2 linked regions of the Astyanax mexicanus genome follow. The protein of the gene in region 1 interacts with the protein of each later gene in a pairwise test. Links are inferred from orthologs where the notes say so. Each region holds a gene or a part of one and is shown in the gene's direction. Other genes may lie near its edges. The genes, in order: zbtb10 and mob3c.

What was found.
Region 2: the proteins of zbtb10 (region 1) and mob3c interact in binary tests that used the Homo sapiens proteins (3 or more experiments, as listed by UniProt). The link is inferred for Astyanax mexicanus from reciprocal best matches to the Homo sapiens genes ZBTB10 and MOB3C.

Annotation. Positions count from the first base shown.
Region 1 is NC_064410.1:44,215,202-44,225,006, forward strand, and holds the start of zbtb10 (zinc finger and BTB domain-containing protein 10), read left to right. Parts: upstream 1-5,938; 5' UTR 5,939-6,314; coding exon 6,315-7,034; intron 7,035-9,805. Other genes in the region: tpd52 (tumor protein D52), read right to left, coding at 3,348-3,460, 3,905-3,936. UniProt on the Homo sapiens protein: May be involved in transcriptional regulation.
Region 2 is NC_064423.1:17,538,586-17,548,013, forward strand, and holds the start of mob3c (MOB kinase activator 3C), read left to right. Parts: upstream 1-4,780; 5' UTR 4,781-5,144; intron 5,145-9,428. UniProt on the Homo sapiens protein: May regulate the activity of kinases.

The DNA of each region.
Region 1 (9,805 bases):
AATTTCAGATATTATCATTCCTGTTTGGGTGGTATTTTTCCCCAAGAGGATATGGGCTCAGTTCTGTCCCAAACTCTGGAATGGTTTGTTCTAAATGATAGCTAGTTAACATTAAAATGTCGCCGGCTAGAGTACCAAAGCAAACTTTTATGGTTGACCTGTCGCTCCCATGACGAGTAATGTACAGCGCAAATTTACAAACTATAGATACGGGTACAGTGTCCCCAAATAGTGTGCAGTGAACAGATTTTAATTTCCTCAGAAAATTAAAACTGATGCTTGCGATTAGCCTGAAAAAAGGATATTTTACCTGTAGTTCTGATTTAGCAAAAGGTATTTATTGAAAATAAATAATATGGTATTACCTTTATTCTGGTATGATTTAAAATTTTAGCCACCTATTACACACTGCATTGCATACACTGAAACATTGCATCTGCTGCTGTAGAAAAACAGAAAGAAACAATGCATGACACACATGCAAGTCCAGGAAGAGCCCCAGGTACAGCTTATATGAAGTTTAACGACTATGGAGCAGTCTGGAAAGTATTGGGATGGACTGGAACATTTTAGGTGATGGAGCTGGTAATGAATGAGGGGTCAAAACACACAGAGAGGGGTGTTTTGCTTTGCCTTAAACATACTTAAAAAAACAATACTAAACACCTGTGAACATGTTTGTGGCCTCATAATATTACTGGCATTAACAACTGTCCCATTCTGGCCCCAGACAATTCCATATAACAGTCCTGTATCTACAGTACATGGACAAAAGTAACGGGACACATGCTTATTCATGGTTTATTAATAAGGGGGTATTAAACACCAATCCACTGCTCCTCAGGTCAATGCTGGTGAGCTTTATACCCCTCAAGCCCAAAACAAGGTGCCATATCTGTTTGGGCTTACATGTTCCAAGGAGTACTATTGTAATGGCAGTATTTCCCTACAGGGACTAGACAAGCTGTGTGCATGAATCATTTGCACATCTATATCAGCAATGTGCTTGCATTAATGAACTTGTGCACCCTGAGTGCACAGTTTACAGTAAATATAAAGATATTCTATATATTTAACATTATGACAAAAAATATTGTGCATTACCAGCAGGATATAGATATAACAGTCAATAATAGGATATGCTATTTTCTACAAACAGTTCAAGCCATGAACACAAGCTTCCCTTTAGAGCAAATGTCTCAATGGTGACATGTATACCTAAATACCTCCTATACAGCAGACAACTAATAGGTGTCTCAGCCTCCATCCTGCAGTCTGCTCTAAAAATAACTCTGTGGTCCTGTGGCAGAAGCTGCAGGGAGATGTGAGTATGCAAAAAGACAAGGAATGGACAGATGGCTTCCCTGCATGAGAGCCTCACAGGAGGGCTTTGGCTGCTCACCGGACCTCCGCCACCTAACAGGAATGATGATAAGCTGCCTCCTGAGGAGCGAAGAGTAGAGTGGGACAGAAAAAAGGTGAAAAGAGAACCAAGTATGATGCTTGCTGTGACGTAATGATTCTAACTGCTGAAAATACAATTATCTCCATAAAACAGTTTCATATTTCATAATTTATCATAAGCAACACTTTAGGACAGCATTATCAGCACACCAGGAAAGATCATTTATCATCCAGCCTAACAAACAAGACAGGAAACATCCACCTGTTCCTCAAAACAATACAGGCTACAGTTGGATTGTGTTCTACATATTGAGTTAGTGAACAGACTAAATGCACTGCTAGGCTTACATGTAGGCCTCAGGTGGGGCCTGTTGGTTAAGGGTTGTAATTTTGTTACAACCCCCCCCCCCCCCCCATAAAATATCAATATGTCCTCCCACACTAATTACACTATTAAATTAAACAGACAGTTAATCTGAGTTATTTAAGTATTAATATCTTTTGTGGTATAAATACTTATTATTGTTATTTTATATTGCTCTCCCTAAATCTGACACCCAGTTAAGGATATTGTAACCACAAATTCAGAGATACTGCAATCATATGAAACAGAATTTCTGTCTATAAGAGAGCATCAGAAATATGCAACTTTCAACAGGAAACACAATCTGTATTCAAAGGGATAAACAAAAGGGCACAAAAGCAGAAGGCCACAGCACTTCATTTACCAGACATAAATTCAATTATTCAGCAATGAATGTGATCAATTTTATAATAAAAGTAGCAGCAGGAGAGAAAGGTCCCAGGAAATGCAAAAATAAAAGCAAATTATCTTTAATCTAAATGGCTTACTAAAAGTCCTTACTCTTCTAGACAGCCCATGACTGCCTTACATTATCAATTATGAAATAAATCAGAAATATTAATCATTAAATACAGATTACACAAACCCAAACCAAGTTACATTTGTACCACTTAGTGGCAACAGAATCGGTGCCTGTAATGTAATCTGAGACTTTTAACACAAGAAAACCCCATAAGAGGCAATTCAAACCATCCCTTGAGATAATCTCAGTCTGAGCTCCTGTTATTGCAAAACTGGATTTTCAGATACTTCAGTGATTAACACAAAATTCAGACAGCATCAGTTACACACACACACACACACACACACACACACACACAAACACAAACACACACAAACACAAACACACACAAACACACACACACACACACCATATGACAGTTTTATGATCACATACTGTATGTATGTTAGAACATCTGCAGTGGTAGTTCCAGTTAAATGCACCGTTTCTAAATAAGGCACAACAGTTATGAAGCTAAAAAAACAGACATTAGTTAAACTAATTACTTCGTGAATGATATGCCAAATTTGTCAATTCATAAAAGAAAATAACTAAGCTAGCTACCAAAGGACCCTTATGAAATAATAGAACGGACGTAACATATGGTTGCAGGCTGCAGTGAATTGATTAAACATGATTAAACTATTAAACAAAAAGTGAACAATTCGTTTCATATCTTTTAAAAAATAAGTATTTTAAGCTGTGATGCTAACTCTATCCAGCAAAAGATAAGCGTTATTTGCTCTGAAGTATCTAAAAAATCTTGTCAAACAGACAAAAAGAGTTTTGAAACTTCCTTCTTTGTTATTGCTCCGTACTTTAACAAAACATGGCACATTTCTAGGAACATTTCACAGGTCCTGAAGAAATGCACTTTCTATAATGTTTTCTTTATAGTCTCCAGCAGAAAACTTAGCAACAGGGGTCCATTAGCCAGTTATGGCTACGACCTGACCTAGCTAGCCCACCTCAGCTAACTTCAGACAGACAGAAACAGGAGATAACAGCTGTTTTAACAGTGTCTCCCGGGATAAACTGCGCATTAATATCTTCACAAGTCAACTTTCTGTAACTTACCCTGCTCTGATTCCTCCATGCTGCTGTGAAGCGCTGCTGTTGGAGCCGGTTTCTCCTCTTCGCTGATTCTCTTCTCCAGGCGAGGAGTTTGGAGCTTCACGCGCTGCAAACTGCTGAGGTGGGGCCGCGCGTGGCGTCATCACGCAGAGCACGCACGCATGTAAACAAAAAGAAACGGGCACGTGGTCACACACACCTCAGTGCGGCGTGCAAATAATAATAATAATAATAATAATAATAATAATAATAATAATAATAATAATAATAATAATAATAATAATAATAATAATATGCACACATACATTTACAGGTTATAATGATCATTACTCTATAGAGAACAATGCAATATTAATTTCGGTTCAATGGACATTTTTTGAATAAGGAAAACAAACTAGTAAATGAGAAACATTAATAATTTGGTTAACAACAACAACAATAATAATAATAATAATAATAATAATAATAATAATAATAATAATTAGTAAACGTTTATTGTCTGCTTGCATTGCAACAATTAATGTTTTTAATGAACGTGAACTTTTGCCACACGAACTTACAGGAAATCTATCGTCACATTTTGAAACTCCATATCATGAAATCCAACCCCTTGATTCCGAGGGAAAAAAATCTTCTAAAGAGTGCACAGGGGGCTCTGTGAGAAAACACGATGCAAAAAATGACAGGAGGTAGAATCTCAAATTTTCTTGATTGCACTGTTTTTAGGCACGCAGAAGTCACTTGGGCTATCAGCAGTGTTTAACTAATCTGCATTTTAATTTGCACGTTTTCAGAAAAGGTTTTAAAAAGTTTCTGGTATTTAATGGTAAATTAATGGTAATTCCCGCTGCCACACCCCAAAAACGGTTAGAGGACAAGAGTGGGCAACAGAGATAAACAGCGAGAGAACGAAAGAGAGCTGTCTAAACTCTGTGTTCTTAAAGGGTGTGGTGAGCCCACATATATATTTTAGTGCACTTGAGTCGATAGGTGGCGCTACGGCACGAAAATAATCTTGTTACAAAGGCTTAAACTCTTTATTTTCACCTTCAGGCTCGAAAAATTATGTTCGTCGTATCGTCGAGGAAGCTGCTTTCATCAGACCTCAGGAGTCTTCTAATCTATCTGTCTGTCGATCTGGGTGGATATAGTCACTTTTGGGGCTTTAGGCAAAACACTGAAATGCCCCAATCATTCAAGCTCTCTTACATGTTCTTTCATCAACCTGACACTTAAACATCTGCTTACAAGTACAGTAATAGAGTGACAAGCCAAGTGTACAAACCTGTCTTAATTAGTAATTTACAACTCTGACCAGGGGGGTGGCTGCACTCACATTTAAAAGATTCAAAATAATATTATTTTAAGTGTTAAAATTGTTCAAGGAGGGACAAGAGAAATAGTTATTCTAAATAATAAACACAAATGTGTATTTAAACAACAGAAGAAGGTTGCCTATTTCTGATTATCACTACATAACTTGGGTGATCAGGCATTGCCTTTTTTACTCTAATTTTGGCCCGTGCAAAGACCAATTTGTATATGTTATAAAATATGCAATATTTCCAAATGTTTGAAAAAAAATCTAATAAGTGCATCCAGACACTTTAAGTTGGCACTTCACATTGTTCCACTCATTTTTGATGATTTGAAGTGTTGGGGATGAGTTGATTAATGAAGAAAACAATAAATGAGTGATTGTGTGCATACATTTATTCCATTAATTTAAATTAATATGGCATGTCGTTGCTCTTTTTATACTGTTTTAACAAAAATCTGTGCAGTTTTTAATATTAATATATAATGTGTTACAGTGTTTAAGAGAGCATACTTGTTGGATATATGGTTTTTAGATATTTAAATAAAAACTCGATTTACTAGGAACTATATATCAGTGTGTGTACCCTCCTACAGTGGGCACGGTGGCTCTGTAATAACCGCAGCTGTGACCGAGCTGATGCTGTATAGAGGAAAGCCCGACACCTGCTGGGTGACATACTAAACAAGTACTAAACTGACGGTTTCAATTCCACAAAAAACATTTATTAGCGCTTACAATTAATTCAGGAATTATTCATTTATACAGATACGTACTTTTATTTCTACATACACGACTAGGTAAAATACAAATTGCCACAACAGCCTATAAAACGTATTATGACAAAATAACTTCAAATTATTTATTTTTTTATATATTTTTTACATTTAAATTTAATTAAGACGTGTATTTTAAAACATATATACCCCTGTTTATCCATATCCATAGGCTGTGCGTACGTGTTGCATTGTTCTTTTTTCATAATTCACTTTTTTCAAAAGTCACTTTTATATAGTATATACTATTTTTTTATTTATTTGGGGAGGGGGAGGGAGCAAAAAGTCCCCTCTGTCACTACCTGTAAGAATAAACACAGTGCACTAAGCCCTGCGCTCTGCTCGCTTCTCCCCTCACCTGTCCTTTGCTTTTCTTCCCTCTGTGTTAAAAACAAACACGGCGCAGTGAGTCAGTAACGCCGCTCCCCGGCGGACAACACACTTATTAGTTCAAGACAAGCGACTCCCAAAGATGAAACGCGTGCTCGGGGAGGGAGCTGTGGGTGCGCTCGGCGAACACAAATGCCCCCCTCGCTGTTCTAGTTACCCCCCCACCCATCCTCCTTTAAGTGCCCCACGACCCCCCTCACTCGAAGCGAGGTGCATTGTGGGGAAAGTCGTTGCCATTCGACCTCTGCGGGGCCTGCGCGGACGGAGCCAGAAACCCTCAAATTCATTATGCCTTTAAAACCCTTATTTATTTCCGCATAACCTACATACTCTCCCCGGGAGGCCAAAGCGCGAAAAAACACAACATTTCGATGCGGAATATTTCATTTTAAACAACGATTATTTGTAATCGTGTTTCGCCGGGCTGAAAGTAAATTATATTGATAAAGATCGTTGGGAAAGTAGGTTCTAATTTATTGAGGAAAAATGTCCGGAGAACGAAACCGCAGGTCGCTGGCTTTCCGAGGAGGTGGATCAGCCGTGACCGGCTCCAGTGGTGTCCGAGGCAGCAACGGTAACAGCTGGGAGGCCCAGGCCTGGCAAGATCGGCATTTAAACGGGAACAGGCCGGATCAGGAGGAGGACAGGGATCTGGGAGCGAAAGGACCGTCGCCGGGGAAAGTGGAGGGCGGGGGGTCCGTCAGCGACAGCACAGAGCCGGAGGCAGAGGAGGAGGAAGATCCGGAAGGGGGTCGATGGACAGTCGGTAAAGGCGTTGACAGCATCGGCTGGACGGCTAACGCGAACGTCGCGGGGGAGGAGGGCGAGAGCTGGACGACAGGCAACGGCGTTAACAGCGAGGACGGCGCGGGCAGCGGCGCTGCCACCGGCTCCGAGGACGACCGAGACCGAGGCGAAGCAGGGAGCGGCGGGGACCGGGAAGAAGCGGGCGCCAGGAAGCCCTGGGTAGAGATGAGACCGCAGACGCTGCTCCAGAAACACTCGCTTTTCCAAGCCTCCTGGCTGCAGGAGTTTCCTTGGCTAAAATTTAATCGAGAGTCGGGACTCATGTCTTGCTCTTGGTGTCACAACATTGCCACTAACAACAGCGACGAGCTGGTGAAAGGCAGCCGAAACTACAAGCGGGCCTTGCTGCTGAGACATCACCTGTCCTCGGAGCACGGCAGGAACGACCCGACCAAACAGGTAAAGTTACTCCCGACACGGACGGAGCTTTTGAGTTTGGGCTTGTCAACGTTAGCAGGGTCCCAGGACGTTCTCAGGATACTGTAAAAATATGATTAAAACTTTAATACATTTGGCTATATTGGATATTTGGTCAACCTTTTTAATATTGTCGTCTTCCTCGACCAGTATGAGCTGCTATAGACCATTAGCTAGCAAGGTTAGCCAGCTAGGTAGATGCTAAGCTAACTAGCCTACCGCTGCTGATTGTAACGTTGCTAGCTAGCTGACCTAGCCTAGGGTTTGTACCACACGAGCTAACCGCTAGCTAGCTTGCTTCCTGGCTCACTCCCAGTCCTGAGAAACCAGCTAGCTGGCTTTGTGATTTTTATCAGTGACAGTTGAATACAGTCTTCAAATCGTCTCTTTTCAGCGCTGTTCACATATACGTTACTGGGAATTTGGCTACTGACTTCTTTAAAAACTGTGTGAGGATTAAACGGTTACAGAGAGTGAGCTAAACTCTTTAATAAACTATCTTAAAGGTAGGTTAGCTAGGTTAGTGTCTAACGTTACGATAATATTAGAAAATATTTGATAGCCGTGTAACCTGGCTAGGTTATATGTCTAGTTACCTAACTATATATCTAGTTAGCTACTTTACGTTTTAAACTGTAAGTTAGTGTAACTAGGGCTGGACAATAATTCAGTATCCTCATATATCACGATATAAAATGTTTAAGTAACGGTTGTATGATTAAAAAAACATTTTTAATATTCCAGTGTTCACTACGTTATTTACAGCATATTTCAATGAGTGACATTCATTAACGTTACAGTGTATATTACAAGAACAGACAGATTCATTTTTGTGGGCTTTCTTAGCAGTTTTTCATATTGTTATCAGGATGATATTGCATCAACCAAAATGAGTCAATGTGACATTAGTTTCATCCATATTGTAAAGCCCTAGGTGTAATTATAATTAACTTTTCACTCTGTCTTGTACATTTTGATATTAACCTTATGACAGCTTAAATAATGGAATAGTTCTTAAATATAAACATATCCTTTATAGTCTTGGTTTGTTTAAAGATAACCTGTAAAAAAAACTGTCTTTTTATAAAGGACACCCGACTGAATTATGTGTCACATTTGAGCGTAACCCCTTTAATCTGGGTTTAGAGCTAAGGGTGTGTGCACTTCCCCTCCTTTGTATTGGACCAGTTTACTCCATGCATGCATTGCACTGCAATTATCAACCTTAGTTGCCTTGGCAACCTGAGTTGATTACCAGGGAGGTCGTGGTGATGGCAGAAGCTCGACCAGCAGGCTTTGGGGAGCCCCAGCCCAGCCCAACCCCCCCTCTGTTCCCTGGCTGTAAAAGTGACCTCTGGCACATCTCATCTTCCCCTTTAGGGCTCCTAAATCAAAGGCATTGTTTTAGGTCCATCTCAAAGATCCAGGGCTGATTCGTCACCCGGCTTGTCCACACAAAATCCCCCTAAATCGAGTAGTGTCCTGTGACTGCTATGCCCGTTGTGCGACATGCACCTGGCCGATCACTATGAGGGCAAGTATAAATAAATTTAGCATGTGACCCTATGACCTCGTGCCCCCCCTCCTCAACCCAGTATTGAAGTGAGATCAATAGTGTGCCTGTGATCATTTTCAGATAGTATGTTTGGAGCTGTGGTGAGGCCTAGCGCTTTATAATGAATCTTTAATCTATGTCCTCGTTTGGACCCCATTATTCACATTATTCAGAAGAGCCTTCAGCCCTGTAGCAGGAAATTGTCAATAAATGCTTGACAAACTGTTGTCCATGCTTTCTGAATGGTGGATCGGAATGTGTTTAAATTCTACATGCGACTCGAATCTCTGAATATATGGCCGTCCGTACTGAATTTGATTCGTTTGTTAATAAAATCCCTGAGGATAGCCTTGCGAGTGCAGCCAGTTGTTCATACTAATCAGGATGACTTAAAGCGTTCCTCTAACTCAATTTATACCCTTCACTAATTAGGGAGGAAAGCAGTAGGAGGGATTATGGGCTCCTCCCTAGCAACAGAAGGGTTAAGACGCTGTTTTAGATTAGTATCAGCCCTGGCACAACTCCCTTTTCTCTGCAGGAGTGTTTGTTTTAAACATCTATCATGATATCTTACAGCTACCCGCAGTTGCTTTAATATTTACTTTTGCATTGTAATTGTCATTGGGCCAGTTAGGAAAGCCTTTAGGAGTGTGAGCAGTTCAGGCAGGCGTAGGAAAGGTAAGCTAATGCTATGGTTTTAAAAGGGGTAAATTAGTGCAGGGTGGTGTTTAGGATGTCTTTTCTTAGAAAAACAATAAACAAGAGAACCTCTTCAGCATGCTCGTGAGTCCTTAAGTGAGTTTTATAATTGTGCTGGTGTGTTATACTGATCATCCTAGTGTCAGAGACAATAGGTCAGACTATCTTTGCCTGTCCAGGTCTGGTTGGAGCAGTGGTCGTAACTCAATTAACCAAATAGGGGGTATCTGGGTTGTTTCGCTCTTGAGTCTAGCCTTTGTCCTCAAAGTTGCCATCCCTTGCTTCTCTTGTTAGGGAGGCTTTAGAAGAGACAGAAGCTCCACCCAACCCCTGTCTGCCTCTTGTGAAATGTAGGCCTGTGTGTATTGGGGGGAAGAACTCTGGAATTCTCCATCGATGAGCTCTCCACATTGTTGGGAGGCCCAGAGCCTGGTGTTCTCCACCCACACCTTGGGTCAAGCACACTGCTACATTGTTCGTGCATCTGTGAGACGGGCTG
Region 2 (9,428 bases), on another chromosome or scaffold:
CAAAATGAAAATGTACTGTGTTGTGAAAGTCTGTGGCAACCTTAGATATCGAGCTTGTTTAAACTTCTGATGGGAGCGGTTTTGACAGACCTTGGGCAAGATTATTGCTGGACCTGGCAACTCTGACTGAATGTTTAAAAGAATATTTTGAAAATTCATTATAGACTTAAAAAACTGTCTTTTTAAAATTGAATTTGGACATTTGATTCTTCATTATCTGTGGCCCTCTTTTAAACGTTCAACGTTGACATTAAAATGCCATTATTTGGACGTGTCTTTGCTCAATAGGTATAGTTTTATTTTCGAATAACATTGTATTCTATGGGTTATTTATAATTGTAATTAATGTAACTCATCATTATAAAGCTCCACACTATACTGTACGTGCTGCCCCCTGTCAGTTAAAAATAATCCTTTTTTACATTCACACAGGTCCCATGTTGGCTCTAGGTTTTTTTTTTTCATGTTTCTTGATCCAAAGCCAAAGCATCTAGAAATTGTCAAGCTCATCCTTACTTATGATTTTAAAGCTGTCAGTCATCCACCTGAAGCCAATCCCTGATTGTGTTCTATTGCTTATGAATCACAGGGTCATGGGTTTTTGTATGACTTGCTATTTGTTGTATTTACGTACAGTCTCAGAACATTTTAGTAAAAGTGATAATACTCAGATACCATTTAACTAACCACAAAATAGTGGAAATAGTGGTTATTATTATGCTAACACAGATGATTAAGTTCATTTTGGAGTTCTGTTCTTGAGAGCGAGGTTTCATTTTCACTCGCTGTAAGTTCTTGCTGTTAAAGCTGTATGTTCTGTGGTGTGGTCATGTGTTAAACTCTTCTCTTTTTCTGCTCAGTAGGTCAGGGATCAAACACGGCTACAGGAAAGGTTACTGGTGTGAAGAGTGTAGTGGGGGTGTTGAAGGTTTGGCCAGTTTTACTTCCTGTGTTGCGAGAAAATGAAACAGTCATATCAGAGCTAACTGCTCAGAACAAAACTAATCTGACTAAAATTAATCTGACTGTAAAACTAGGCAACAGTGTGTAACAGACTGTAAAAAAGTCACTTATCTACACTGTTTCTTTCTACACTGTTGTTTTCTTTGACTTTCTTCACACATTTCTGTTTTCTTTCTTTCTTATATATTTTTGTACTTTCTTATCCTCAAACCTTTCCTCTGTTTCCCTCTGTGTTCACTCTCCATTGTAAACCTAAATTCTTATAAAAGGACAACAAAGACAGTACAATATGAACTAGATTAAAAGCCAGTCCCACTGATTGCAATCTGCTTTCGGTTTGGAGATGAAATGTCCCCCTCTGTTGGTTTGGCCTCTTGACAGCAAACACACAGTCATTTTGAGAGCCGAGTTAGATGATCTTTTTTTAGAAGGTGTGGAATTTGCAGATGTCTCTAAACACACCGCCTAAAGCCTGCAGTTTTTTACTTACCATATAAACTTCTGTTAATTTTTTCAATGCTAACTTAAATTTAATCAATGTCATATAAATATCCTGTTTCTCCAAAATGGCAATTTTACAAGGTAAAGGGGAAAAAAATCAACTTTTAATAGAAATCAGTGGAAAAAGATTTAATCCAGGTAATTCTTTACTATTTATTTTGATCCATTGACATACCCATGTACCACAAACAGTTTTAAGATTTAGATTATGTTAAAAAAATGTAACAATTTTTATTTTTTTTTAATAACAGTGCATTAAATGTGTGCATAAAAGACACTGCATAAATGCTGTGTTCATAGAAATATTATAAACAGCACAGCAGTTTTATTTGTTTTATTCAATGCTGCTGTATAATATTCATCTTATAATTTAAAGCCAGCAAATAGGCAGTTAATACCATAAAATTAGAAATTCTATATGAATTAAACTACAACAGCCAAAAGTGTTTTTCCGTTTCTGTTCACTTTTGTATTTGTTTCAAAGAGTTTCTTTGATTTTGCCAAAATGAAAATCTCTGGAGTATAATCAAGAAGAAGATGTATCACAAGCCATCAAACCAAGCTAAACTGCTTGAATTGTTGCACCAGGAGTAAAGGCATAAAGTTATCCAGTGTAAGACTGTTGGAGGAGAACATGACAAGATGCATAAAAACTGTGATTAAAAACCAGTGTTATTCCACCAAATATTGATTTCTGAGCTCTTAAAACTTTATTATAAACTAGTTTTCTTTGCATTATTTTAGGTCTGAAAGTACCTATTTTGTGCAAATAAATCCTCTAAATGACAATATTTTTATTTGGAATTTGGGAGAAATGTTGTCCGTAGTTCATAGAATAAAACAACAATGTTTATTTTACTCAAACATATACCTATAAATAGCAAAATCAAAGAAACTGATACAGAAACTAAAGTTTATTCCCAGAACATAATAAATTATTACACACTTCAAAGTTAAAAGTTGCCTTATTCTAAAAAAATATATATATTAATTGGATTTATTTGCTATAGAAGTGCAACAGCAAAGAAATTTTCTTAAATATTTATTAAGACTTTTTACAGTTGTGTAACTTGTTGATTAAACTCCTCATGGACTTTTTACAGTTATAAACATATGGGTTCGAAAATTGTTAGACATGTGAAGAAGCATTGGGTCTATATAGATATCTTTACAGTTTATTTAATTTTAGTTTATTAACCAACAATCTATTGGCAAGTTTTTTGGGGCTTTGGGGCACCAAAAGTGATTCTTCTACACTGCAATCAGTGTATCAAAATCCTTTCTTTTGGTCTGGAATGTGAATTGTGTGGTGGGCTGTTTTTGCTAAGTAGAACTGGTGCTGCAGGATAAACAGAATTGACTTGATGTCCACAGTCTGTAAATTGCAGTAATACACTCTTCATAATTCATTAAATAGAAATATGCACACAACCACAACAAAACAAGTCCAACATCTTTCACGGATGGTAAACAGTTGTGGAGCGTGAGCTGGAATGTTCAGTTTTGTGTTTTCTTATGCAAGTCGAGCTTGCCTCCAATTTATCCACATACTTTCCATACAGTTATAATACAGGACTGGCGTACTATGTAAAATGTAGTTTTACTTACTTCACTTTCACACAGTGTATCGTGTGAAACTTAGTTGTACACTTCTATCCAAGTTGCAAGCCCAAACTTTAAATGGAATTCCACAGAATTTTCCATATGTCTGCTTAATTCAACTGTTACATAAAAAAAAAAAAAGATGAAATGTTCCCCTCTGTTGGTTATTTGTTGGTTTGTCCATTTTGAGAACTCGTTTAGATAAGTTTTTAAATGGTGTGAAGTTTATGTATGAAAGGTTTTCAGTGTTTTCACAAAATGAAAATTGTTCTTGGGACAGCATATAGCAACAGACACTGCCTATAAAAAGTCTAGAAAACACACACTATTAATAACTGCTGTCATTTTATTCAATGGCAATGTATTTACCGATATAAAATATATTTTGCCTTTGCTGACCTATACACTACACACTGTTGCCTACCCCATTTGCTTGGGTCCATATTTTTATTCTATATTATTTTGTCTTTATATTTATCTATTTGAATAATTACTCTTTGAGTGTAAATTGGACCGTGGAAATACAATTTCGTTTCACCTCATGTTCCACACGTGATGTGAAATGACAAAAAAAAAATCCTTGGATCCTTCAAAAATGAAACTATTAGATATGAGCAAAGACTAAAATTTTATTTGAAAAAAATATTAGATTTTTATTTGAGTTTTAAGAGAATTTCCATTTGCAATACATTTATTATGAATGAGACTGGCGTGAAGGTGCACTAGTATGTATAGAGTATTGTTTGGGAGCTAAAATAAAGCCATTACTAAAGAAATAACACATCAGATCTGCATCTGGAGTTTGTCCTACAGTTTTAGAGCAACTCACTAACCCACAACCCACCTCTTATTAAAAATTAGGAGGTTTAATGACTTCTGGCCAACATTTACTGCCCATTTATTAACACTCAACATCTAAAAGGGAAGTGTGGTGGCAGCATAATTTTGTGGGGATATATTGTAAAGATGGTGCAAAGTCAAAGGAATCAGAATCGTTGCTAGGTTACCTGTATGTGTGTAGGTTACTCTCCATGTAGTACATGGAGAGCTTTGGTTACAGTGCATTACCGGCTAATAATGTCACTCATAAAAGCCCCTCGGCCAATTACATTACTGGGTCAGAACTAACTGTGGTATAATATCAAATTTGAGATATCAACCTAACTAAGAGTCAGGGGTAGTATTTAACCAGTATGGACCCCAACCAATCAGAACAACCTGGAGCATGTGTACTAGTAAAAAACAGGTGAAAATCGTCCTTATTCTGCTAAGCCATCAGAAATGTATTTTTTTATTTACATACTTTAAGCTATTATTGCAGCAAAAGGGGTTTCCAACAAAGTACCTAAGCCAGCAGCATACTTCAGTCTTACATTTAAGGAAGTTGGATTATTTTGCAAGATAATATATGGTTAATGTCGTGTACAAGCTCTTTATAGTTGTTCCTAATGTGTCTATGTTTATGACATATATTCTGATAAGATTGTTTATGACAAAGATAATATGCTGCATATGGTCAACGACTAGAATGTCTAATTGTCCTGCCTGCATTTTTATTGTGGGTTATTATAGCTTATTGACTCCATACAGTCCACGTGTATAGAATGAATGGGTAGTGGTTGTGGGCAGGAGAGAGGGATGAAAGAGGAGGGAAGAAAATAAGGGCTGTGCCTCAAAGGCCTCTGCCCCTCCCACAGCCAACGAAATATCCCCTTTTAGCTTGCCTCTTAGTACACACACTCTCTCTCTCTCTCACACACACACACACATACACACACAGTCACTCTCATATAGACAGAGACAGTGGGGCCTAGCAGACAAAATCAGGATGTGACATCACCACAGGAAGAGAAGCCAAACAACTTTTCTTTTGGTTTGTGGATCAGTTTTGCTTTTTCTCCAGCACTTTTTGAGCGTTCGGGTTTGCTGATGAGTGGCAGAGGACTCAGAGTTTGTTCAGAGGAGAAATCCAGCGTGATCCACGTCCTCTGGGAGATAAGTGGAGGCAGTGAAATTCTCCTGAGCGTTCCCACAGATCCCCACAGCATTCCAGGCATTCAAAACGGGACTTCGGCCAGGTACTGCTGGGTGGAATTTTCTCTCTCTCTGTTGCTCTGCTTCTCTTTGAATGAAAGTTCCCTTAGATGGTTTGATGTTGGAACCTTTATAAATGCTTTAGCTTTATCTTGTTCTTCTCTAGAATTAATGTTTTAATCCACAATTTCCCTCTTCTTCAGAATTTCCGTCTGGGATCAATAAAGTATCTATTTTAATATCTATCTATTCACAGAATTTAAAACTAGCCTGAATGTGTGGTCATGAATACTTGAGATTGTGCCAATAAATTATATGATCCACCAACCTCAAAAAAACAAAAACAAAAAAAAGAATAGATGTTAATCAAGAGAACAAACTACAAAAGGGTTTCCACTATTAAGAACCATTTAAGCATTCAAATAGTTATTTCAGTTTCTATATAAAACAATTGTATTTATGAAAGATCCATTAAAGATCCCCCCCCCCCCCTAAAGAAAAGTATATTTTATACAGAATAACATTTTTATATGCTGTATGTTCTGTACATTAAAATTAAGGATATATTGTCACTATTACTAACCATTGAACTGATTTTGTTGCTATATAAAATAATTTTTCCATGTGAAAGAACCATCTACAACCGTAGGTTCAATCGGTTTAACCAAGCATTTTGTGTTGTTATGGTTCCCCAGAGAACTGCTAATTGTACTCAAGAACCCTTAAAAACACCCTTTTTGCAGGATGTATGTATACACTGGCATGCCAAAAGTCATGGGATATCAATTTAAGATGTGAGGTGTTGCCTTGTGAGGCAGATTTAAGTGGCAAGTGAATGTGTATTACTGGTAGATATTACCACCTACAGTGGACAGTACAGTGGGTCGTAATAATTGTGATGGGCGGCATCTGGCTAGAATTGTCCATGCATACAGAATGACTCCCATTCACATTCAATGCTCAAAAAGTCCCAGAAGTCGTGGTAGACTGTAGCATTTCAATGTAATATATTCTAAAAAAAAACTGTTGTTGTCAATATACTGTATATCCATTTAAAATACATTTGAATGAGATTACATTGACTTCTATTAAAAAAAGGTTTTGCCTTCTCCTATAAAGATACTATTGTGGACATACAGTCTGCTTAATGTTTCTTTTTGTCTTAATTATTGTTCTGTTGTATATGAAGCGATACATTGCAGAGAATGAATGAATGCTCTCATGCATAGAAGACTTTCTCATTCCTATTCCCGAGCTTTATGACTGAAGCATAACGGTCTTGTTACAGTAACACAATAGTGTCCTTCATGGTGACATGCAGTGTTCTTCACTACACTGCTTGAGGGCTTTCTAAACTGTTTCTAAACTTCTTCTTGCCCTGCCCGAGTTGGTCTCTTTAGTTTAATTCAAACAAACAAGAGTGAGACCAGTGTTCCGGGTATTTAGAGGAGGTTTGAAGGACTGGCTTTGATAATGGAAAATATGCATTGGCTTAGAAACAGTAGTAATCAGCACCAAGTTTGAACACACCTTCTTGAATTTTCTTTATTTTCTTTTTCTTTTTTTTAATTCCAGATTAAAAAAGAAATCCATACAATTTTCAGTAAAAGATTGGCAGCTGTGGTTGCCAGGATTGCACTGTAAAAAACAAACAAACATTAATTTTAAATAAATGTCTATAAAAAAACATTTATAGCATTTACAGTAAAAAAATGTTATGAAAATGTTAATGTAATATAATGTATATTTTCTGTCTAATGAAAACTAAGTATTTCCGTTTTTGTGAAGTTTTAATTTACTACATAATGTGAACTATCAAACTGTCCCTTACACTGTAAAACTTTTTGGATGAATGGACCAATAAAAATTATTCAAAATTACCTAAAATTAATTCTTTTTACATTGAATTCCATTGAAATTTAAGTTTTTTTTTCTCCTGTAAAGTTGCTGTTTTGGAGATGTGTGTTTTTTTTATTGGACAGGGACCATATGGTTTATTGTGGCCCACTGTTAGATAGTATTTCTGATATTTACATTATTATTCCATATTTCAATGCTACGAGCACAATGTGACAAAATGTATTTTTCATAAAATATAAATATATACATTACATTGTTGGCTGTTCTATACCTGTTATGGATCATAGTAATTTAATAAAAAATGATAAGTAAATCCAGTATTGCATAATCTAGAAATGAAACTGGAGCTGGAAGGTGGGTGGAGTGAGGTGGTGCATGACATGAACATGATGGAATGGGATGTTGATTGGTGTCTGTTTATAGGTGCCTCATATCATTTACAGTAACATTGAAATTATTTTTTTCTAGATCACACATAAATGTGAGATTATGCCACTGTTAGAGAATCTTTATTCTGTGGAAAAAAAGACAAAAAAACAAACCCAACTGAGGTGGTTTGGACCACAGGGTGAAGGAAAACCGAGACAATTCTAAGACAACCTCACAATCTGATTACTTCACTAAGCTTGAGTTTGCAAATTTGTCATAAAAGCAAAATGTGGCTTAGAACAATCTAATGCATGAAACCCTTTCTTGGCTTTGTGAAACACTTGATTATTTACTACATTGTTCCATATATGTCTCTTTATTTGATGATTTCAAGATTAATCAACAATGTAAAAGCTAAAATATGTCCATTGAAAACCAGTGAATAAGAAAGTATTTTGCCACTTTCTATCGGAAAGTTCTTTTAGGGAACCAGAATGTGTGTTTTTTAGGTCATGGTGACTGGTCTTTTTTGGACTAAACCTAACAAATGAGAAAAACACATTAGAAAAAGAGACGTGGCAAGGACCCAGAAAACAAAAAAGTTTCAATTCCAGTCATTTTAAATGAGTTTCCCACAGATGTCCAGATAGAGGGTAATTTCACTGGTAGTCAGCGGTCAGTGGCATTTACGTCTTTATCTTCTGCTAAATGAAAGGGCTGAATGCTTTATCTTCTATAAAATGAAAGGGCTAACTCCAGGTCAGCAGAGCAATATGACCTGGTTATACTAATATGCATGCAAAGTTTCAGAAGTACAGAAAATGATATGTGGGGAAAATAGGGTTGTGAATTGAATGGTGAGCAGTGTAGTAAAGGACTGTTATCTCATCCAGCCAGACCCACAAAAACAAAGCAAGTGGTGAAAAACAGAGAGAAAATGGTACCAAAAATAAGAGTATAAACAAATCAGTATATCAAATCAAACCAAATTTATTTGTATAGCGCTTTTTACAACAGGTGTTGGCACAAAGCAGCTTTACAGAAACATGATTACAGGACAAAGAATCAGGCAAAACATTAAACATAGAAAATACAGAATACAGAACCCCCAGTGAGCGCAGAGGCAAGGAAAAACTCCCTCAGAGCTGCAGGAGGAGGAAGAAACCTTGGGAGGACCAAGACTCACATTTGAGGGGGGACCATCCTACCACTGGTCAATTAAAATTTAAAAAGTCTTTTATACATCCATATAGGTTTTATGTATTCAGGAGTGTAATAGCGCCACTAATGGCTTGGATGTAATCAGTAGTGGAGAATAAGATGGACGATGAGCAGCTGATCTGTGGTGGTGGTGGAGAAGAGCTGACTTCAGAAACTTCCATCAGTCTGGCCGGCCAGGAGACGCGAGAGCCTGAGGGTCCAACATCGGTATCGGGTCAGTCAGGTGGGCAGTCAGTAACTCGGAGGAAGGCAGAGAAATTAGGAAGGCATGGAATTAGTTTTGACTGGATTTATGCAAAACTGAGAATATAAAACATTATCAGAGTGTGGCAAATGACTCCGGCAGAACTGAATAAAACAGCCTAACTAAAGGCAGAGAGCCAAAAGGTAACATAGACATGGAGGCACCCTGAAACACCAGCATCCACCCACTCCACCGTCCACAAACCTGAGTGACCGTGTGCAGTGGGAGAACAACAGCACCAGCATCTCTGTTTACCACAATTCCCTCTGTCCATGAACCCCTGAATCTGCAGCCTTATCTAAAGGAAAAAACATTAATTCAGTATGGAAGTAGGGAAGCACAGCCTTGGTCGGCAGCTGTAATTAGATCGTTTGTTATTTTAACTAAAGCTGTCTCAGTGCTATGATGAGGCCTAAATCCAGATTGAAATTTCTCATAGATTTGGTTTCTTTGCAGGTAAGAGCAAAGTTGTTGGGCCACAGCTTTTTCTAAAATCTTAGAAATAAACGATAAGTTTGAAATAGGTCTATAGTTAGACAGTACACTAGGATCAAAATTTGGTTTCTTGATCAGAGGTTTAATTACAGCTGTTTTAAAGGCTTTGGGTACATGGCCTAGGGTGAGTGATGAGTTT